Anolis sagrei: one gene and its partners. The protein of the gene in region 2 purifies or fractionates together with the protein of the main gene of each other region. This does not show direct contact. Links are inferred from orthologs where the notes say so. Each region holds a gene or a part of one and is shown on either strand. Other genes may lie near its edges.

Region 1 (7,614 bases), about 120 kb from region 2:
CTTTAACTCAGCCTTGAATGAGAGCACTGGCCTGGTAGCCATAAGATATCAAGAAGGGCACACTCGTGTGTCTAGAATTTCATATAAGCAAGCAACAAAAGGACTCTAGGAAGAAACCCATCATAGAAATTCAGACCTTGGTCTCTCCTCACCCAGCAAGATCTTTTTATTTTGCAGGCTAGTAACCTCTATTCCTTACTTCAGAGTCTGCTCTAGTTGTAACCCCATTATTAGGTTTTTAATTATTCCTACAACAAAGCTAAAACAAAGACTAAATACTCTAAAGACACCAGAACATGTCTGATCTTGGAAGTTAAGCAGGGTCAGCCCTATGTGGTACTTGGATGGGAGATCACCAAGGAATTAACAGGCGCTGTAGACTATATTTCAGATTAAAGAACTGGGGGAAAAAACAATCTCTGAATTGGTTTTGCTTAAAACCTTATGAAATTCATGAGGTTGCCAGAAATCAACAGACAACATGAAGGCCCATGCACACACACATGGTGCTTCTTCTGAGAATAAAAACATCCTTCTTCTCCTACTGTTTAGTTTCTGTGAAGTATAAGGAAAATGAAATACTGCCTGACAATTCTGATTCATCTAATTGAGATGTTTCCTTCATCATACAAACATATCCTCTCTGAAACTTCACCAAGCTTGAGAATTTTCTCTTAAAGTTTTAAAACTCAACCAGAAAAAAATGTGAATGTAGAGGTTTAAGTTACTCAAACTAAATTCTAAGCATAAGGTTGAGAGCATTGAGCTCTCTCATTTATGAAGCTACACAAGGCAGCACCGTGTAATATATATATTTATTTATTTATTTAATTGATATCCTGCTTTCTGCTTTTAGACAGAACTCAAAGCACCTCTCGCCCCCACTCAATCTATCAGCAGGACTCCATGGGGTTAGCCTATTTTTAAACAGTATTCTTAAAGGAGAGCTACTAGTCATAATCCTTGATAGAACAAAATTAAGTGGGTGGTGGGAGAGAAGAGAGCAAAAGTATAAATCACCATTTTAAAACTAAGCCCAGCAGGGGAAGGTATGCAATCACCCAATCCGGGCGCACGTGTTTACCACCCATTGAGAGTGCTTTGGCCTACAAGTGAACTGCAAGCAAACGCTCTCTCTATATTTATCACATAGTGAGTGAGCAAAGTCCTGGATGAGCTACAAGAGAGGGATTCCCTTGCTCTAGCTCCCTGTATGCCTGATCATCAACTTCCTAGATTACAATAGGGATTTTTTTTTAAAAAAGGAGGTGATCTGATCCCAAGCAGAAGTTCTTCTTTCAACAAAAGGAGCCACCTGGGAGGGAGCCAGGACTCCTAGTGAAAGGAGAGAGCACCAGCCAGCTCCACATGGCAAGGGCCAGACCATGTGCGCCTGGAGGGAGCTCACTCAACTAGCTTCTCCCCAAAAGCAACCCCCCTTCTCTCCTTTAAAGAAAGGGAAGCGGAAGAGGAGACTGGGGCCCCCTTCCACACAACCCAGAATATGAAGGCAGAAAATCCCACAATATCTGCTTTGAACTGGGTTATCTGAATCCACACTGCCATATATTCAAGTTTAAAGCAGATAAGGTGGGATTTTATTCAGCTGTGTGGAAGGGGCCTGGGAATCCACCCCCAGCACACCCAAATGGCTGGTAATATACTGCTAATAAAGTCAAGAGTACTAGCATGCCTTTCTGGAAAGACAGAGTGAATCTATTCTACACACTGTAGAACTAAGGCAATTCGACAGGACTCTCCCTACTATGGAATCACGGGAGTTGTAGTTTTACAAGGTTTTGAAGCTTTCTTTTCCAAAAACTGCTGGTGCCTCAACAAAACTACAACTCCCGCCACCCCATAATAAGGAGCCATGGCAGTTAAAAGTGGGGCGGTCAAAGGGCAATACTTCTACAGTATGGAGGCATGCTCTCTCTCTCTTCCACACACAGAGCTCTTATGAAAACTACAACTCTCAGGATTCCATAGAGTTCAGCCAGGGAGGGTCAAACTGTATTATTTCGCCCACGTGGGGACACACTCCCCATACACCAGAGGTTCTCAACCTGTGGGTCCCCAGATGTTTTGGCCTTCAACTCTCAGCAAACATCTGGTAAACTGGCTGGGATTTCTGGGAGTTGTAAGCTAAAACACTTGAAGACCCATAGGTTGAGAACCACTGGTTTAGGACACAAAGGCCTTATCAAAACTACAACTCCCAGGATTCCGTGGCAGGTAAAAAGTGAGGCCAACTGAAGTTATTCGACAGTCTGGAGGCGCCCCCTCTACACATACACACAAAGACCTTGTGGAACTACAACTCCCAGGATTCCACAGGAGTCAAAGTGGGCTTCTTCTTCAGTGTAGCAAGGAGAGGGTTGAACACGTGAAGAGCGCGCCATGTGCGGCCGAGTCGTCCAACCCTTCCTCCTTCCTTCCTTCTTTCTCTCTTCTCCAAGGACAACTGGGCTTTCGAGGAAGGACCCATCGAGGATTATGGTGTGAGGGGGCTTAAAACACACGCAGACAGTGTATCTGTATCTCATTCTTCCTGGAGTTGAAAGGAGCCCAACTTGGCGGGTCGTGGGCCGCCTCGGGTTCCTCTTGGAGGGAGGGAGAGAGAGACTGTTTCCCCGCCTTGCCGCCATTCCCTTCGCCCTCCTCCCCCTCCCCCTCCTCGGCCAAACTCCCAGGATCCCAGAGCCTCGGGCCCAGGCCGCGCCCCCCACCGGCAGGCAGGCACTCACGGTTGGCGATCTCTCCCCCCATCTTGTACTTGTTCACCACCACGTCTTCCGCGATCGTCAGCTCGGACGTCTCCTCCTCGCCCGACATGGTCGGACCCTCAGCCGCCTCTCTCTCTCCCTCCTCTGCCTGCCTGCTCGGAGGGAGTCCACCTCACCGCCGCCGCCGCCTCTGCCTCTGTTTCGTCTCCTCCTCACGGCGCGCGCGACAACCAGACAGGCGGCCAGCCAGCGCGCGGGCTTTGCGCGCGGCACGCTGGGAAGCCAGCCCGCCGCCTTCAGCTCACAAGGGACTACAGGTCCCGTCAGGGGCCGCGGCAGCGCAAAGGGTGCCGGGAAGAGAAAAAGAACCCACAACCCTTACAATGCCACGAAAGGGAAGCGCCTCCTGTCAAGCCCCGTGCCTGCCACCTAAAGGCTTCTGGTGGAACTGCAGGCAGAGTTACTTGGCTTTGAGGGCCCTTCTTCCATACTCAATACTAATCCATACTAATCAAGGTGAAAGAAGAAAGCGAAAAAGCTGGCTTGCAGTTAAACATCAAAAAACCAAGATTGTGGCAACAAGAATGATTGACAACTGGGAAATAGAGGGAGAAAACATGGAGGCCGTGGCGGACTTTGTATTTCTAGGTGCAAAGATTACAGCCAACGCAGACTGCAGCCAGGAAATCAGGAGACGCTTCTTGGGAGGAGAGCAATGTCCAATCTTGTTTAAATAGTGAAGAGTAGAGACATCACACTGGCAATGAAGATCCACATAGTCAAAGCAGCGGTGTTCCCCATAGTAACCTACGGATGTGAGTTGTTGTTCATTCGTTCAGTCGTTTCCGACTCTTCGTGACCTCATGGACCAGCCCACGCCAGAGCTCCCTGTCGGCCGTTACCACCCCCAGCTCCCTCAAGGTCAGTCCAGTCACTTCAAGGATGCCATCCATCCATCTTGCCCTTGGTCGGCCCCTCTTCCTTTTGCCTTCCACTTTCCCCAGCATAATTGTCTTCTCTAGGCTTTCCTGTCTCCTCATGATGTGGCCAAAGTACTTCAACTTTGTCTCTAGTATCTTTCCCTCCAGTGAGCAGTCAGGCTTTATTTCCTGGAGGATGGACTGGTTGGATCTTCTCGCAGTCCAAGGCACTCTCAGCACTTTCCTCCAACACCACAGCTCAAAAGCATCGATCTTCCTTCGCTCAGGCTTCCCTAAGGTCCAGCTCTCACATCCATAGGTGACTACAGGGAATACCATGGCTTTGACTAGGCGGATCTTTGTTGCCAGTCTGATGTCTCTACTCTTCACTATTTTATCGAGATTGGACATTGCTCTCCTCCCAAGAAGTAAGCGTCTTCTGATTTCCTGGCCACAGTCTGCATCTGCAGTAATCTTTGCACCTAGAAATACAAAGTCTGTCACGGCCTCCACGGTTTCTCCCTCTATTTTCCAGTTGTCAATCATTCTTGCTGCCATAATCTTGGTTTTTTTGATGTTTAGCTGCAACCCGGCTTTTGCGCTTTCTTCTTTCACGGATGTGAGAGCTGGACCTTACTTCTTTCTTTCTTTATTTGGTTTACTTTTACCCTGCCCTTCTCACCCCGAAGGGGACTCAGGGCGGCTTACACATCCAAGGCACAATTCGATGCCCGTAACATACCACAGCAATAAAACAAATAACACAATTTAACAATCGACAACAATACATTACATCTATACCCGTTAAAACCAATAAAACCCTTGGGGAAGGCTGAGCAAAGGAAGATAGATGCTTTTGAACTGTAGTGTTGGAGGAAAGTGCTGAGAGTGCCTTGGACTGCGAGAAGATCCAACCAGTCCATACTTCAGGAAATAAAGCCTGACTGCTCATTGGAGGGAAGGATAGTAGAGGCCAAGATGACGTACTTTGGCCACATCATGAGGAGACAGCAAAGCTTAGAGAAGACAATTATGCTGAGGAAAATGGAAGGAAAAAGGAAGAGGGGCCAAACAAGAGCAAGATGGATGGATGGTATCCTTTAAGTGACTGGATTGACCTTGAAGGAGCTGGGGGTGGTGACGGCTGATAGGGAGCTCTGGCGTGGACTGGTCCATGAGGTCACGAAGAGTCGGAAACGACTGAACGAATGAACAACAACAACTTCCATACTGCATAGGTTGTGGGACTCAACTCATAGTTAAAGCAATGTTATTCCCCGTGGTGGTGGTGGTATGGGCATACCAAATCCCCTTGCCTCTCTCCTGAGGAATCTGTATAAGGACCACGTAGCAACAGTCAGAACTGTAACGCCCTTCGGGGTGAGAAGGGTGGCATATAAATGTCGTCTATATAAATAAAAATGTAATGTTGGTTTGTAGGGTTAACAGAACTCAAAAACCACTGGATGAATTGACACCAAATTTGGACCCAAGACACCTAACAACCCAATCTATGTCCTTCACTCAAAAAAATTGATTTTGTCATTTGGGAGTTGTAGTTGCTGGGATTTATAGTTCACCTACAATCAAAGAGCATTCTGAACTCAACCAATGATGGAATTGAATCAAATAATAATAAACTGTACAGTGCAAGGTATACTCAAAAGAGCAGAACCTCAAAGACGCAGCATAATAATAATAATTATTATTAAGCTGTGCCTTTAAGGCTCTTCTCTTTTGAGTACACCTTGCGCTGTAGAGTTCATGGAGTTTGACTGTCAGGCTCAATGCTGTGGAATCCTGGGAGTTGTCCTTTTACAGAGCCTTTGTGTGTGTCGGCAAGAGAGAGTGCATCTATATTGTTGAATTAATGCAGTTTGATACCACTTCCATGGCCGTGGCTCAATTCACTTTTTTTAATCATGTCAGAAGCGACTTGTGGCTCAATGCAGTGGATTCCTGGGAGTTGTAATTTGGTGAGGGACCAGCACTCTGGGGCAGAGATTATTAAAGTTCCTGTAAAACTACAACTCCCACAATTCCATCTCTTTTAATACATCTACACTGTAAAAGTAAGGCACTGTGACCCAACATGAACTGCTATGAGTCAGTGCTAACCATAGATGTTGTTGTTTGATAATGCACCAGAGAAGGCTGAAGAGCTTGTGAAACTATAACTCCCATGATTCCATATAATCAAGCCATTGCAGTTAAAGACTTGTCAAACTATTAATTCTACAGTGTGGATGCAGCATTGAGACTATGGTCCCTTCTACACTGCCATATAAAATCTGCTTTGCACTGGATTATATGGCAGTGTAGACGCAGATAATCCAAAACAGATAATGTGGATTATCTGCTTTGATAATGGCTGTGTAGAAGGTGCCTAAATTCATTCTGATCTGATTTTTTCCCCAACAGACCAGTTTGCTGGAAGTTAATGATGGATTCATGGAGTAGGTTCACACAGGAACTGGCACTGCAGGTTGATCCAGAATAGTGGCTTCATAGCCACGAATGCAAATGCTGACGAAAGATTGTGGCTTGAAATAGTGTGAAAGATCCACCTGCCTCCCACACTGTTTATCTGCCTATAGTGTGTATCTACAGTAGAATTCATGCACTTTGCCACCAGTTTAACTACCATGGCTCGATGCTATGGGATTGTAGGAGTTGTATCAGTCTTTGACAGGGAAGGCTAAAGACCTTGTAAAAGTCACTCAAGGCCAAGTATGATTGTCTTCTAAAGGTAGAGTCTTGGCTGTGGGTCTGTAAGTGACTGTGGAGACCTATCCTGAATCTACATGGTCTTTTCCAATGAGAACATCGATTTCTAGATGGAAGAAAAGTCCCAACAAGGGCTTGTTTGATGTATCTGTCTTTCAGCAGGCTTCTCCCTTTCTCCCTCTATTTGTGCCTCTTCAAAATCCACAGCACTGTTGGTAACAGCTGACCTCCTCTTACAGTGCTTAAGGGTCAGGGCTTCCCAATTTTCAGAGATTTGCAGGATTTTTCGAAGGCAACACTGATGGAATCTTTCTAGAAGTCGAGTGACATTTGTCACTCCATGTCTCGCAGACACACAATAGAGTTGGAAGGACAATAGCTTTATAAACATGCATCTTGGTATCCCTACTAATGCCCTGATCTTTAAACATTATCTGCTTAATTTGAATAAAATGCTGCACTCACAGAGCTCAGACGGTGTTGTATTTCGGCATCAATGACTGCTTTTGTGGAGAGGTGGCTGCAAATGGAAGCCGAAATTGTCATTTTTTAAAGCTTTACACCATTAATCTTTATTGCTGGCATTGCAGAAGGATTGGTTGGTGCCTGCAAAGAGAGCACTTTGGTTTTCTCAATGTTCAGTGATAGACCAAAATTTCATATGCTTCTGCAAGTATGTTTAAGGTGGTTTGTAGGTCTTCCTCTGAATGAGCACAGCCTACATTATTGTCAGCATAGTGAAATTCTATAACAAAAGTTGTTGTGAACTTACTTTTGGCTTTCAGCCTGATGAGGTTTATGGTCAGGACTTCCCACAGTCCAGTGTATTATTTCCACACTGATGGGAAAACTAATCCATAGTCTTCAGCCATAGCAATTGAATCAAACTGCATGTTTTCAACAGGGTAGATGCCACCTTTGATTTAAGGTTTGACAAAGCTGGACCTTCAGATATGATTTTAGTACAGCTTACAGCAGCAACAGGTGAGGAATGCTGGGAGTTGCAGTTCAGCAACATCTGGAGAGCCACAGGATCACCCCCCCCTCTCTATCCGAAGCATGCTAATGTTGCCATATCTATAAGAATCAGCATCAAGTTTTGTATAACTGGGCGAGTTCTCCATGGAGTCTCTGTAGCACCCCAACTCAAAACGTAAGAGCAATTTTAGAAACTTCTAGTATGGAGATATAGTGCTGTGTGCACAGGCCAGCTACACACATGCCCCCTAAGCAGGCATGTA
Region 2 (7,735 bases):
ATGAAAGACCTTGTAAAACTTCAGTTCCTATGGCCCCTTCCTTCTACACTGCCATATAATCCAGATTATGAAATCAGATAATCTACATTATTTGCTTTGAACCAGATTATCTGAGTCTACACTGCCATATAATCCAGTTCAAAGCAGATAATCTGGATTTTATATGTCAGTGTAGAAGGGGCCCAAGGACCCTTCCACACAGCTGTGGAAAATCCAATTTGTTCTGGAATATATGGAAGTGTGGACTCGGGGCCCTACCATACAGCCATGTAACCCAGAATATCAAGGCAGGAAATCCCACAATATCTGAGTGTAGACTCAGGGCCCTTCCACGCAGCCCTAAAACCCAGAATATAACAGCAGAAAACCCCACATTATCTGAGTGTAGACTCAAATAACTCAGTTCAAAACAGATATTGTGGGATTTTCTGCCCTGATATCCTTTGGCACCAAAACATAGGGCTGTGTGGAAGGGCCCTGAGTCCACATTGCCACAAATCCCAGTACAAAGCAGATAATGTGGGGTTTTATTCAGCTGTGTGAAAGGGGCCTCAGATAACCCAGTTCAAAGCAGGTATTGTGGGATTTTCTGCCTTGATATCCTGGGATAGAGTGCTGCATGGAAGGGCCCTGAGTCTACATTGCCATAAATCCCAGTACAAAGCAGATAAGGTGGGGTTTTATTCAGCTGTGTGGAAGGGCTTCAGATAACCCAGTTCAAAGCAGATGGCTGTGTGGAAGGGCCCTGAGGATCCTTCCACATAGTCCTATAGCCCTGAACATCAAGGCAGAAAATCCCGCAATATCTACTTTGAACTGGTCATCTGAGGCCCCTTCCACACAGCTGAATAAAATCCCACATTTTCTGCTTTGAACTGGAATATATGGCAGTGTGGACTCAGACAACTCAGTTCAAGGCAGATATTGTGCTATTTTTTGCCTTGATATCCTGGGATATAGGGCTGTGTGGAAGGGCCCTGAGTCCACACTCAGATAATGTGGGATGTTCTGCCTTGACATTCTGGGTTGCATGACTGTGAGGAAGGGCCCTGAGTGCCTGGTTGGGAAGAGACCCCGGGGATTCTGGGCTTTGTCTTTTCAAGGGACAGAGCAGCAAGTCCCAACAGATGCGCCTCCCGGGTCAGGGGTGGGATGGAGGGGTTCCAGCCTTGGCCCTCCTCTATCACAGCCTCAACAGGTGCCCTTTGAGAACTGAACCAAAAGCCTTCCGAAAGACAGGCAGGCAGGCAGGCAGGCAGACTCCACAGGCAGGCAGACTCCACCCGCAGGCAGAGAGCTGCAAAGCTGGCGGAACAAGATCTCATGGATTCCTAAAAGTTTGCCTTGGAAGTTTCTGCTGCGGGTTTTGGGGGGGGGGGGGGTGCGAGAAAACATGCTCGCAGTCACACATGCCACGCCTTCTAATTTATTTATTTCCAGTATTTCTATCCCATTCCTTCTCAACCCCCAAAGGGGAACTCGGGACAGCTTACATTTGGCAGCAATTTGATACCACTACATATAGCACAGCAATATAATCACAATTCAAACAATAAGTAAAACATTCATTAAAACAGCATAAAAAAGTATGAACAGCCATAACATAATTCCAGCCAATTCCATATCCAAAGTGCCATGACTTCAATTTCTTCCTAAATGACAGGAGGGATGGAGCTGATCTTACCTCAGTGGGAAGCAAGTTACACAGGCAGGGGGCCACAGTGAGAAGGCCCTGTCCCTCATCCTCGCCAGACATATTTGTGATGCTGGCAGGAGCGAGAGCAGGGCCTTCCTGGATGATCTTACCTCAGTGGGAAGCGAGTTCTATGGGCAGGGGGCCACAGCCAAGAAGGCCCTGTCTCTCGTCCCTGCCAGACATATTTGTGACGATGGCAGGAACGAGAGCAGGAGCCCCCGGGATGATCTTACCTCAGTGGGAAGCGAGTTCCACAGGCGGGGGGCCACAGCCAAGAAGGCCCTGTCTCTCGTCCCTGCCAGACATATTTGTGACGATGGCAGGAATGAGAGCAGGAGCCCCCGGGATGATTTTACCTCAGTGGGAAGCAAGTTCCACAGGCGGGGGGCCACAGCCGAGAAGGCCCTGTCTCTCGTCCCCGCCTGACGTATTTGCGACACTGGTGGGAGCGAGAGCAGGGCCTCTCCGGATGATCTTAAATTGCGAGGCAGGACGTAGAGGGAGATGTGTTCAGACAAGTAAGCTGGGTCAAGTAGGTCAAAACCAGCAGAGGATGCTTGCCATAGATGCAGGCGAAACGTCAGGAGAGAATGCCTCTAGAACATGGCCATATAGCCCGAAAAAAACCTACAACAACCCAGTGATTCCGGCCATGAAAGCCTTCGACAATACTTTGAATTGAGCTGGGAAGTGGACCGCCAGCCAGTGGAGCTGACACAACAAGGGGGTGGTCTGCTCCCTTCTAACCCTCGGAGGGCATCTGCCCCAATGCTGAATGAACGCACTTAAGGCTCCAATTAAACTCCCCTTAGTGTTAATTCGACCATACAGATGGACAATCGAGTCCAAAGCCGTCACGTTTGAGCGAAACCTAGGATCAACCGAAAGTAGAGAGAGAGATAGACACAGAGAGAGACTCAAACACCTGGTCTCGGATTTCCAGGAAGAGCAAGACCAAAACCAAAACCAGTCCTGCCCTGATCAACGCGCCCGCGGTGAAAATAGATCTTAAATGAACATCCATACACTTGTTGTTGTTGTTGTTGTGTGGTCTTACCTGCTTGAGAGGCGGCGGGCAGCAGGAACCCCGCGAGAGAAAGCAGCCCCAGGAGGAGACCTGGCCCCGGGAGGCTCTGCCTCATGGCTGAACGGGGATTGGGACTCTTTCAGGTGCTGCCTCCGCTTTCCTTCCGCATAGGCGGCTCTTTCCTCCTCTTTCGGGATGAACAAGAGTCCGGAGCCACTTGATCCCCGAGGAAAAGGTCTCAGTCGGCCATCGCCGCCTCCTCCTCCCTCTCTTCTTCTTCTGTTTCTTTTTCTTTGGGGCCGGATCTCTTTCTGGCCCCCAGATCCCGCTCAGCGCACAGACTTTGATCCGCTCCCCTTTACGCACCACAACTCACTAATTGCACACACTTCATTCAAGGGGAAGCCGAGCTCGCGCCTCATTGGCTGGGACTGCGCCGCGCTCTGACCAATCAGAGGGAAGCCAGAGGGAGCTCCAGAATCCAGGAATGGAAAGAGAGTGTGTGTCATAGAAAAAACCTACAACAATCCAGTGTCATAGAATCTATCTATCTATCATCTATCTGTCTGTCTGTCTGTCTGTCTGTCTGTCTGTCTGTCTGTCTGTCTGTCTGTCTGTCTATCTATCTATCTATCTATCTATCTATCTACCTACCTACCTATCTAAAATGTAATGTTCGTTTGTGGGATTAACATAACTCAAAAACCACTGGACGAATTGCCGCCAAATTTGGACACAAGACACCTACTAACCCAAATAGTGACCATCACTCAAAATAATTGATTTTGTCATTAAGGAGTTGTAGTTGCTGGGATTTATAGTTCACCTACAATCAGAGCATTCTGAACTCCACCAATGATGAAACTGAACCAAACTTGGCACACAGAACTCCCACGACCAACAGAAAAAATTGGGAGGGTTTGGTGGGCACTGACTTTGAGTTTGGGAGTTGTAGTTCACCTACATCCAGAGAGCACTCTGGACTCAAACAATGCTGGATCTGGACCAAACTTGACATGAACATTCCATATGCCCAAATGTGAACACTGGTGGAGTTTGGAGGAAATAGACCTTGACATTTGGGAGTTGTAGTTACTGGGATTTATAGTTCACCTACAATCAAATAACATTCTGACTCCCACCAACGACAGAATTGGGCCAAACCTCCTACACAGAACCCCCATGATCAACAGAAAATACTTAAGGCCATCCAGTCCCTTCACCAAGGCAAGAAAACGTAATGAAATCCCTCCTGAGAAAGAGCCATCCAGCCATAGATATAGATAGATATATATGATTCACACACACATATAGTCTCGTAGATTTGAAAGGGACCCCTAAAGAAGGACAATGATATGTTGCATTTTCTAGAGGAGGCAAACCAGGCCATCTCCACATCAACACTGACAAAGAAACAGCAAGAAATAAAGAAATACTGTCTACCCACAAGCACAAAAATATTACAAGTATTTCTCTTTACTTTTCCAGATCACCAGACTGGGCCACAGCAATGTGTGGCAGGAGACTGCTAGTCATAGAATATCAGAGTTGGAAGAGACCTCGTGGGCCATCCAGTCCAACCCCATTGTATCACAAAATCACAAGTCGAAGCGTCTAGGGCTGTGTGATGTATTTTCAAAGATGTGTGCAGATCCAAGTAAGGTAGCCTTTTGCAGTTGACAAATCGTGATTTTGTCGATGATGATGATGACGACGACGACGATGATGATGATGATGATGATGATTATTATTATTATTATTATTATTATGCTTTTATTGTGTGTTTCTGCATGGCACCCGGTTGGACTGGATGGCCCCTGTGATCTTTTGCATTATTATTATTATTATTATTATTATTATTATTTGTATCTTGCTGTTCTTCCAGGACTTAAACTCAGAATAGCTCTCAGCCTTAGAAACTACACAGTTTGAAAACCTACAAAATACAAATATTAAAATAGAATTAAATATTGTAATTATTAAAACAATAAACCTGTTAAAATGATTCCAGAGGTTGTGAGGTCTGTTGAAAACTAGAGAAGTGGGGTTTAGTTTCCAATCACACCTCTGAGGATGCCTGCCATAGATGTGAGAGAAACATCAGGAGAGAGTGCTTCTGGAACATGGCCATACAGCCCAGAAAACTCACAGCAACCCAGTGATTCCGGCCATGAAAGCCTTCCAACAAACCATTATGACACAAATGTTTATATATAAAATAATCTACCCAACAATCTGACCTTCTGGCCACTTTATGGGTTTCCCTAAAACGCTGTTATGATGACAGCCTGAATTTTGGCATTTACCATTATACTGGCATGAAAACAGCAGGAGTCTGTCAACACCTCAAACTACATTTAGAGCAGATGAGGCTAAACTACACTTCCCAGGACTCTATCACTCTTAGTTTAAAAACAAGAGAAGACTCTCGTACCTTTAATGATTGTACAGATGAGCGAATTTCATGCAGAGGCAACATCTGTTGAAACTCCCTCCATCTCCATTTCTAAGCTGAAGAGCCGGCCTTGTCCGTAGACACCTCCAAGGTCATGTGGCCAGCACATTTACATGTTTTCAAACTGCTAGGTTGACAGGAGCTGGGGCTTACAGTGGGAGTTCACATCGCTCCCTGGATTCAAACCTGCAACCTTTTGATCAGCAAGTTCAGCAGCTCAGCAGCTTAAACCACTGTGCCACCGGGGGCTCCAACCATAGTCTGTGAGTATATACCAGAGTAGGCAAGGAAGCAGGAGGATAACAATCAAGGCTGAACCATGAAGTGTGAACCACAAAGCCACAACTATTTGGGGGAAAGGAAGTTCTCTACGCTTCATTGAGGTTAATGTGGAGAGTTTGGACATTTGTTAGCAGTGCTTGATTTTTTTTTCAAAGGGTGAATGATGTCTGTATCGGAGCAGAAAGATGTCTAACTTCTCTGTTGCTCTCAAGCTGAAACTCAATACATATTTATTTAGAAGCAAGTCCCACTATGTTCACTTGAGTAGACATGGATAGGATTCCACTGGCTAAAGCCTAAAAGAGCTTCTTGCCACAGCTGTTCGTACCAAAGTGCAGAACATGTTTTGAAAATTAAACAGAGCTATGTTTCTAATTGTTTGCATCAAACTGAAATATGTGAAAGCAGTGCACCAGCAACAGGGATACAGTTAACGTTAATTTACAAGTAAATTACGAATGCAGAGCAATAAGAAACATTCATGAATTATTTCCTAACCCTAACACTACTGAAATGTTTGTTTTCCTACAACTCCTCAAAGGGAAATAAATTGTAGTACATAAGCAGAGGGGAAACTGAATGCTGTCCAAGGCAATGGAATACTTCAACACTTTATTTATATTCTTCTTTATGTCTTCGGAGGGACTCAGAGCAGACTACTGTATACACATATAAGGCAAACATTCAATGCCTTTTACCCAGTGAACAACAACGACATACAATACACAGACACAGGTAAAAGTTTTTCCTTTTCATTTCCAGCGTCTGGAAGCGATGCTCAACTCCAACCATGGGGAGGTGCTCTTGTTCCATTTTTCCATGCCAAGGAGCCTGTTGTCCGTAGACATCTCTAATTGTGTTTTGCCGGCGCCCTTTTACCTTCCCACATGCTTTTGAACTGTTAGGTTGGCAGAAGCTAGGGCTGACAGCAGGAGCTCACCCCGACTTGCGGCTTCAAACTGCCAACTCTCCAGTCAGCAGATTTCTTGCAGCTAGCTGTTTAACCCGCTGCGCTACTGTGGCCCCATAGTATTAGCTGAGTACTATGGGTGCATCTATACTGTAGAATAATTCAACTGTACATCACTTTAGTTCAATGCTATGGAATCTTGGGATTTGTAGCTTGATGAGTATCAAGTGTCCTGAAATGTGTTCAGTCCCAGAATTTTGGAGTCACTAAAGCAGGCATGGGCAAACTTGGGCCGTCCAGGTGTTTTGGACTTCAACTCCTACAATTCCTAACAGCCGGTAGGGAGTTGAAGTCCAAAACACCTGGACGGCCCAAGTTCGCCCATGCCTGCCCTAAGACCTTTATTCTCTTTTAAAAACAACCTTCAAGTTGAGACCCATTCCTCATTGTGGCCACCTTGAAGTCCTGCCTAGGCACTGATCCGGAGATCAAAAACTCAACCCACTGTTGTCCACCCTGTTTCTTAAAACCTTGCTGCGTTTTAACCCCTGCTTTCTCTCCACTCCACCCAGAGAGTGAGTCACACACAGGAAACGGGTGACACAAAAGAGGAAAAGGTTACCTTGACCTAATTAGGACCTTGGGCTCTCCTTCAGCCCAGAATTCAGTCTAAACAAGCCTCACAGAAGATGCCAGGCAGGCAAGGAAGGTGTCAGTGGCCCTCCAGATGCTATTAAGATGCAACGCCTATCATCCACCACCATCTGCGATGCTGATCTGGTCCAACATCCAAAGGGCCACAAATTGCCACTGGTTTAAGAGGCATCATTATTTTATAAGACATTTAAGTGTTCACGTTTTTTGAATAGTCTTGTACTCATAAGCTTTGGGGTTCCTCCCTTTTGCTTCGCCCAGTCTTTCCCAAATAGTTTCCAGTCTATTTTCCTGTTCTACCTTCTTGTAATTCTTCCTTCCCAACTACCTTATGTTTTTGTTCTAATATAGTACACAGAGCTAGGACACAAGGAAACATTCTCTCCCTGTTAAAATATTATAATAACCACCCTTGCCAATTGGAATGTAGCTCCTTAGGATGGGATTGGGAATGAGACAGGAAAGGCACCTGTGGCCACCCTCTGGCGCCCCCCTGTGGTTATAAACTGGAATTACCATCCTAAAGTCAACATCCTAAAAATAGTCAAAATTACTGCAACATACTGGCAACAAAGATCCGCATAGTCAAAGCCATGGTATTCCCTGTAGTAACCTACGGATGTGAGAACTGGACCTTAGAGAAGGCTGAGCAAAGGAATATAGATGCTTTTGAGGAAAGTTCTGAGAGTGCCTTGGACTGCGAGAAGATCC
Region 3 (8,049 bases), about 29 Mb from region 2:
TGAGAGTTGTTGGTCAAAAACATCTGGGGAACCAAATTGGGTAAAAACTAAAGAGCACTGACCATTGTGTTTTAAAAATTATATGTAGTCCTTTGTAACAATGGGTTATCGATCTACGGAGTAATCGGCCCTTTGAAGGCAACCACAGGGCTGAAATGGCCCCTAATGAACATCAGTTTGACACTCCTGATTTATGACAAGTCACACTCTCTCAGGTTCAGATGAATACAAAGACAACCCCACTCTAAACAAACCTTTCCAAGGAAACCCTGCAATAGGTTCACTACAAGACTTGAAGGCTTATCAGAAAAGCATTATTATAATGTGGAGTAGGAGCTCTAGAGAAGAGTAGGAGCTCCTTCCTTAGAAACTAGACACATCCCTTTCCCAAATAAAATAAAAAACTGAAATGAGTTAAACTAAAGTATACATGAGTTAAACTACTATTGTAAAACATTACACTAAATGACCCACTGCAGAGTTATCAAAATATATGCAGGGGTTGCCAATGGTCAAATTACATACATAAACTTATTTTGAGGAGGCCTTATTATCTTGCAGGAACTAAGCATTGGGGATTTGCATTACATTGTAGGGATAACATTACATAGCCGACTTGCTATGTTTGCCAGAAAAAGTATCTACCAGTTTATCACAAGAAATTAGCCTGAAGCAAAAACAAAACAAAAAACCAAAACAAACAAACAAACAAAACTAAACAAAAAAAACAGAACATCTTGAGGAGGTAGAGGTTTCTTAACTAAGGATACATTTCTTTTCAGTGATATCTCATGGAAGTCATAGCCCAGGGGTAAGAATAAATTAATTTGGGTGTCCTGTAGTATGTTTTTAGGGTATAAAGCCTTGGGGTTTTTCCCCAAATGGGAAACATTTCTTCTATATTTTGAATTGACACCAGGCATCTTTTAACAGCACACAATTTTAAGAAGCAATGGGTGCAGCTAAACTATAGAATGAATGCAGGTTGACATCACTAGGCTCAGCAGGACTCAATATTGGGAAATCATGAGAGTTACAGTTTCGACTTATCTGTCAAAGCGTGCTAGTGCCTCAACTACAAATCATAGCACAGACCCAGGGAACTGCATTGATTCTACAGTATAGATGTACTCAATGTCATTTTAATATGCACAATTAAAGCAAAACTTGGAACCATTACTTTGGCCTACAACTCCTGGAAACTCTTAGCCACAGGCTAAGTTGGCTAGAGGGCTCTGGCAGTTTTATGTCTTTTCTTGGATCATTTTTAAGATATTGGAAGCAAATTGGGATTGTATAAAACTTTTGGTAAGTTTCAGGCATTCACAGAAAAAGATTCTCTAAATATCCCCCTTCAATGCAACAGCTATTTTTACCTTTGCTCTGAAACCATTCTGTGAATCCTAGGAGATTCCTGCATTCCCAAAGTTTTGATACAAACACATTACTGAAGTCTCTATTTTCTGAGGAGGTACAGATTCTGTCTGATCTTGAAAGCTAATCTGGGTCAGCTCTAGTTAATACTCAAGTGGCAAACTGACAGGGACCACCAGATGCAGTATGCTATATTTCAAAGGAAGGAACTGCCAAAACTCCTTCCCAGTCTTTTTTGCCAAGGCGACATCTATGAAGAGACACACAAGCCTACTCCCACCACCCGAATAGGTGAATGTGAATGACAATTCAAAATGTTGCTTCTAATTTTTGCCTTCCTCATACATGTCCCACCACTTTTTACAGAAAACTGCTGACCGCAACTTCTGCTTTAACACTAAGCATGTGTTATAAGAGAATTTCATTTCAGTATCATAATGCAACATGGAAACTATGAGATCAGAACAACCACCCTAAAGGTTCTGTTCTTAACTGCCGCCAAATTGACTTTGACTTAGAGGTTTGTCATTTATGGTCCCTTCCACAAAGCTTAATAAAATCCCACATTACCTGCTTTGAATTGGGATATTTGGCAATGTGGACTCAGATAACCCAGTTCAAAGCAGATATTGTGGGATTTTCTGCCTTGGCATTCTGGATTATATGGCTGTGTGGAAAGGTTCTTAGAGGTTTGTCACTTATGGGATGCCCTGTGTCACTCTTTCAGCAAGAACAGTGCTAAGGTTTTGCAGACCCTGGATAGCCATGGCTTCCTTGGCTGGATCTTGACTGAAGAATTAATGCACCTTGATAACACTTTAACTGTCATGGTTCAATTCTATGGAATCCTGGGATTTGTAGTTTGGCAAATCACCAGCACTCTTTGGCAGAGAAGGCTAAAGGCCTTGCATGTGCCTTTATGTGCACCACTCCGAGTCCCCTTCAGGGTTGAGAAGGGCTGGATATAAATATGGTAAATAATAAATTGTAAAATGACAACTCCCAGGATTCCTTGGCATTGAGCCACAGCTGTTAAAGTGCTATCAAGCTGTATTAACTTTACAGCTGAGTTGGAGTCCAAAATATCTGGAGGGCCGAAGTTTGCCCATGTCCGGTGTAAACTCATATAATGCAGTTTGGAACTGCATGATATAGTAGTGTACATTGAGCCTAAGTTAATAATTACTAGGCCAACTCTGGAAAGATTCTCCGCCACTCAAGGCATTTATCTCGCAGTGTCCATTTCTCAAGGAGCAGCAGAGTCATTCGCACGACGAGGAGATCAGAGAGCGCGAGCACCACCCGACTCCCCTCGATTTCCCGCGCCGCGCGCGCTCACACACTGAAAGGCAGCTGAGGCGAGCGCGCGCGCATAGGCGAACCCCAGCCTCCTTCCCGTTCCCTTCCTTCCCCTCCCCCGACAACCGCTCTGCGCGTCCGCCGCCAAGGGAAAAGCCCCCAGGGCGGACCCCCGGCCGAGGCCAAGCACCCCTTACCGTAAGTCAGCTGGGGTTCCGCTCCAAGCGGCCCCCTCCGCCCGTCCCTCTCTCCTTCCTTCCTCCCTTCCTTCCTTTCCTCTCCGCGGCCCCGCCTCAGCGGCTTCTTCGCCCTCAGCAGGGGAGCGCCGCAGAACAACTTCCGCCACCGTACTCTCGCGAGGCCACCATGGGGTGCGAGGAGAAGGGCGGGGGAAAAAAGGATGCTGAAGAGCGCATGCGCACTCTAAGGGCTGTCACCAGAGGGGGTGGGTGGATTTGAAGTCTGTGGTGGCAGCAGGCGCATGTGCAAGAAGATAAACTCCTGAAAAGTCTTTCTGGATCCATTTAAAGAAAAATGCCATAAACTATATTCCCTCCAATATATTTCTCAGGAAATAAAACCCGACTGCTCATTGGAGGGAAGGATATTAGAGGCAAAGATGAAGTACCTTGGCCACATAATGAGAAGAAAGGAAAGCTTAGAGAAGACAATGATGCTGGGGGAAATGGAAGGAAAAAGGAAGAGGGGCCGACCAAGGGCAAGATGGATGGATGGTGTCCTTGCAGTGACTGGATTGACTCTGAAGGAGCTGGGGTGGCCACGGCCAACAGGGAGCTCTGGCATGGGCTGGTCCATGAGGTCAAGAAGAGTAGGAAGTGACTGAACAAATAAACAACAAAAACATTCTCACTACCTCAGAGGATGCTTGCCAAAGTGTAGGCGAATCGTCAGGAGAGAATGCCTCTAGACCATGGCAATACAGCCTGAAAAAACCTACAACAATTCCAGCCATGAAAGCCTTCGACAATACAACAACAACATTTTTCTCATCATTGGCGAATAGGACCTTCTGGCTTAGTAACATCTGGGTGTAGTGACGATGGCAGGAGTTATTCATGGTTGTGGCATCTACAGTGTAGGATGAATGCAGTTTGACATCACTTTGGCCACTTTTTGGCGCAATGCTATGAAATCACAGGAGGTGTCATTTTGCAAGGTCTAAATAGTGCTAATGCCTCGCCAAATATAACTGACATTATTCCACAGTATTCCCCTTCTGAAGCCTAACCTTGCCAAGACACAAGTGTGTGCTTGCCATCAATATAATTGTGAAGCCAACAGGAAACTGAAGGTTACCTGGGAAGGCCAAGAACTGTGTGAAAGGGCCCTCAGACTTAACGCTAACCTTTAGGAAACACTGTGTGAACACCAAGCACAAAGTAGCTGCACACAATGACATCCTGCGGAAACTTGCTAATAGTGCATCAGGTGCAGAGCCAAAATTAATAAGAACCTGGCCTTGTCTTACTCAACAGCTGAGTATGCCTGCTCCATCAGGCATAAATCTGTTTAATTCTGTTTTATTGTTCACATATTTGTGAATTTTAAATTATGTGGTCATGCTTTTAATTGTAAGCTGCTTTGAGTCTCCTTCAGGAGAGATAAAGCAGGGTATAATTAACCTAAACAACAACAATCTGAGATAAATCTACCCCATGAAGGGAAATTCAGTCTTGGAAGAGTTATCTTGGGGAAAAGGTGTCTCCACTGAAGATTTATCACCAAACCTTGCTTCCATAACAAGCTAATTTTTTCAAAATCCAATTATCACTGAGACAGAAAGTGAGGTCAAATCCTCTGAAGAGGGGTACAGTCCATAAAACAAACATCATAGGAGTGTTAGTCCTTCCCTGTGCTATCCAAAGCTAATATATATTTGGCTGGAGTTACACTTTTAAAATGTACCTGTTTCTACTTACATACAAATTCAATTTAAGGACAATCAGAAGAACCTGTCTTATTTGTAACTTGAAGACTGTGTAATAAAATTTCATTATTTTAAAAACATTTTTGAATGACAAAACTAAAGAAAAAGGGGCAACATAAAACTAGCAAGATATTTAATTCTGTTGTCATCTACAAAAGTTCACATTCAATCAAATTATATTTTAAAAAATCACCAAAAAATCCACAATGTTTTAAGTAAGTTTACAAATTTGTTTTGTTGGGCCGCATTCATAGTCCTCTTGAGTTGCATTGGCCCACAGGTCGCAGGTTGGACATGCCTGCTCTGTAACATGAACAGTCTTCAATAGCCCTGTTTCAATCATGTTCTTGTCTATTACACTGGGCCAAAACGTCCAGTTTTAAAAGCTGAACCAAATAACTTCTGCTCTTCTTTATGTGTCAATACATCAGTGGAAATGCCTTGTAATAGAAGTCAAAGGCGTGATAAAATTGCAATCAATAAGGTGCCTTTATTATAGAATAAAGAACACATTGGAACTCCCTTCCAAATAAACATAGCGAGGATTAAAGTGGAAGACTATTTAAAACTGGTAAGCATGTCAACAATGCCTGGCAACTCTTACTCATAACACTTAGTCATGAGTAATTATATTCCTTTCCATAAGATTATTTAGCAGTCATGGAAACACAAAGGTTGGCAGCAAGGGTTTAATTTCCCTTAAACATCAGGAAGAACTTCTTCACAGTCAGTGCTGCTCAACAGCATATTCCACTATTGAGCAGCACTATGCTGCTGCCTCGGAGCATGCTGGAGTCCCCCCTCTGGCAGTTTTTAAGCAGAGGCTGGATGGCCATCTGTTGGGGGCGCTTTCAAATCTGTGTTCCTGCATGGCAGAAGGGGGTTGGGCTGAATGGATTTTATATGGCAACGTAGAAGGGGCCTAGGTATCACAACTCATCCACTTCTTCAGCAGGTAAAAATCCAGAGGGGTTTGTGTAAAAAGATTGGTTTGTGTAACCTTTTCTTGGCAAAAGGGGTTTTATCTTTGACTTTCTCTGAGGCTGCGAGAATGTGACTCACCCAAGGCCACCCAGTATGTTTCCATAGTTGAGTGGGGATTCAAACCTATGTCTTCAGAGTCATAATCAACTGATCAAGCCGCTACACAACATAGTATTGGGGAACAGAAATGGTCATGTACAATATTTGGTTGATTTTTTCACCTATGTGAAGTTGGGCTTTAAACTGTGCTGGTTGACTGTACTGCAGGGGTTCAGTTGCAGAAAAAGAATGGTTATAAATTGGAGCTGGTAGTTCAGCTATATGATATTCCACAACAGTGAAGAAGTTAAAAGGAAAAGAGAAATATATAGTCCCAGCAGTCCCGGTGGAAAGAAAGAGCCAGGGGTGTTTTGTTAATTAATGAAATGTTTGATTATATATATCTTTATAAATTAGTGCTTCTTAGTCCATATCTTTCTGCTCCGTTCTTGACAAAGCATTAAAAAATCCAAGTGAGTGTGAGTCTACGTCTCATATATGAATTGGTTACAGCTTTTTAAGGGCCAAGGAATAGCTTTAATGTATTACAGATTTTTCAATTCATATTAATGCTAGGCTGCATTCCTGCCTGTCCAGTTCATGTTATTTATTTCACAATCAATACAATTATCAGCCAATTTCAGGGGAGGGAAAACTATAGGCAAAATAAAATAATTTGTAAAAAGTGTATAATGTTTAGATGTTGAGAAGTTTGGAAATCCAGAAATCTAAAATCCACATTAACTACCAAAACCAGAATATTAGAGTTGTGGCTTTCTTTCTTTCTTTCCTTCCTTTAAATTCCAATCAGCATAACTATTGTTGCCGGAGATAAGAGAAGATGAGAGGTACTGTTCAACTATTTATAGAGAGACGCAAGTTGACGACACTTGTACTATTAACTGAAAGTGCTGTGAGTGCACAAAAGGTAGGGACAGAAAATTCACATGGCTCAGCTATAAGTCTCTCTTTTAAGTTAAAGTGCAAAATCAGAGCTTAGAAGTAATAGGTTGTTGTAATTACCTTTTTGGCTAACAAGCTATAACAATGTTGCACTTCCAAAGCAATACAATCGGTAGGAAATTACTTTAATTTATTGGTGCAGTCCATATATTTTGTCATTATTTCATTAATTCAAAGAGTTTTTTAAAACAAGTAAAAAAAAAGCTATTGGAAAGTAACATACATATTGGAATTAATAACTGGATTACATTTTCAAAACTGAAAGTGAGCTAGTGTGAACTACCTTTCTGGAGACCAAGGTTTGAATACCCCCTGGGCTATGGAAATCCACTGGGTTACATTGGGCAAGTCACTTTCTCTGTTTTCAGAGGAAGGTAAAGGCAAACCCCTTGTGAACAAATAATGCCAAGAAACCCACATGAGAGGGTCTCCTTGTCTAAGGTCATTCAGTGAGCTTCCATGGCCAAATAGGAACTTGAACCCTGGTCTCCATATATGTAACACAACCAATACTTTCAATATAACTATACCAGGGAGGGGCCTTTAAAATTCTCAGCCAGAAAGGTCCTGGGTCTCACTACACTACAAAACCCAACATTCCGCAAGAGGATTTAAAGTGGGATGCACACTCTATTTCCACCCTTTAAAGGATAGTGTGGCAAGAGAAGTTAAGACTGACCTTAATTGTTAAGACTGGGGGCAGTCTGTCTGGGAGAACCCTCTGTATTTATCTCCCATCAACCATGAAGTAGACACCAAATGTTTATGGGAATCAGACCTGTTTAATGATGCGGTCATGATTCCACCGCATGCTGAAAATCGGGCAAGGCAAAAGAAGGCAAAATAGCAACTTAAAATATTTTGCATGTAACAGGACATCTACCCATGCTCGTTGCATTTCTAAATGGTGTTTCACAAACATTACCCATAGCAAAGGTAAATTTTAATGCGATTGTACTTAGTATTTTACAGTCAGATAATAAAGCAGAAGTTTTTTCTCCTAGATTGCATTTAGCATGCAGAAATACATATACACAGGATGAGTAGAGCCCAAAACTTATTATAGTGTCATCTGCTACAGAAAATTGTTCCAAAATCTCTGATTTTGCACTTCGTGATTCATATTTTTCTTAATGCAAACTTATACTTCATTCAAGCTTTTGTACAATACTGGTCTGTTGCTTTTCATGGCCACTGCCTCGTTCATCAGCTTGCATCTGGGGAGTCTGTATTTTAATTGCATTGTTGTACTGGGGAATTTTCCATCATTTAACTTGTACATCATTTCACCTTAGACACATTTATGTCTTTCTAATTACAAAGCAAGCTATCCTGTCTAGGGTTCAAGTGTTAACTTGTCAGAGCCTGTATAGGTGTTAGAAATGAAAGATTTAGTAGAAAGAACAACCATTCAAAATTGCTGAAGGACAGAGCATAATAAA

What was found.
Region 1: the proteins of ERBB3 (region 2) and PA2G4 purify together in Homo sapiens (affinity purification with western blotting; 4 studies listed by BioGRID and IntAct, with this or other methods). This does not show direct contact. The link is inferred for Anolis sagrei from reciprocal best matches to the Homo sapiens genes ERBB3 and PA2G4.
Region 3: the proteins of ERBB3 (region 2) and GRB2 purify together in Homo sapiens (affinity purification with mass spectrometry; 3 studies listed by BioGRID and IntAct, with this or other methods). This does not show direct contact. The link is inferred for Anolis sagrei from reciprocal best matches to the Homo sapiens genes ERBB3 and GRB2.

Annotation. Positions count from the first base shown.
Region 1 is NC_090022.1:146,811,931-146,819,544, reverse strand, and holds the start of PA2G4 (proliferation-associated protein 2G4), read right to left. Parts: upstream 3,036-7,614; 5' UTR 2,836-3,035; coding exon 2,748-2,835; intron 1-2,747. UniProt on the Homo sapiens protein: May play a role in a ERBB3-regulated signal transduction pathway. Seems be involved in growth regulation. Acts a corepressor of the androgen receptor (AR) and is regulated by the ERBB3 ligand neuregulin-1/heregulin (HRG).
Region 2 is NC_090022.1:146,696,711-146,704,445, reverse strand, and holds the start of ERBB3 (receptor tyrosine-protein kinase erbB-3), read right to left. Parts: upstream 3,103-7,735; 5' UTR 2,839-3,102; coding exon 2,754-2,838; intron 1-2,753. UniProt on the Homo sapiens protein: Tyrosine-protein kinase that plays an essential role as cell surface receptor for neuregulins.
Region 3 is NC_090022.1:117,442,527-117,450,575, forward strand, and holds the start of GRB2 (growth factor receptor-bound protein 2), read right to left. Parts: upstream 3,072-8,049; 5' UTR 2,871-3,071; intron 1-2,870. UniProt on the Homo sapiens protein: Non-enzymatic adapter protein that plays a pivotal role in precisely regulated signaling cascades from cell surface receptors to cellular responses, including signaling transduction and gene expression.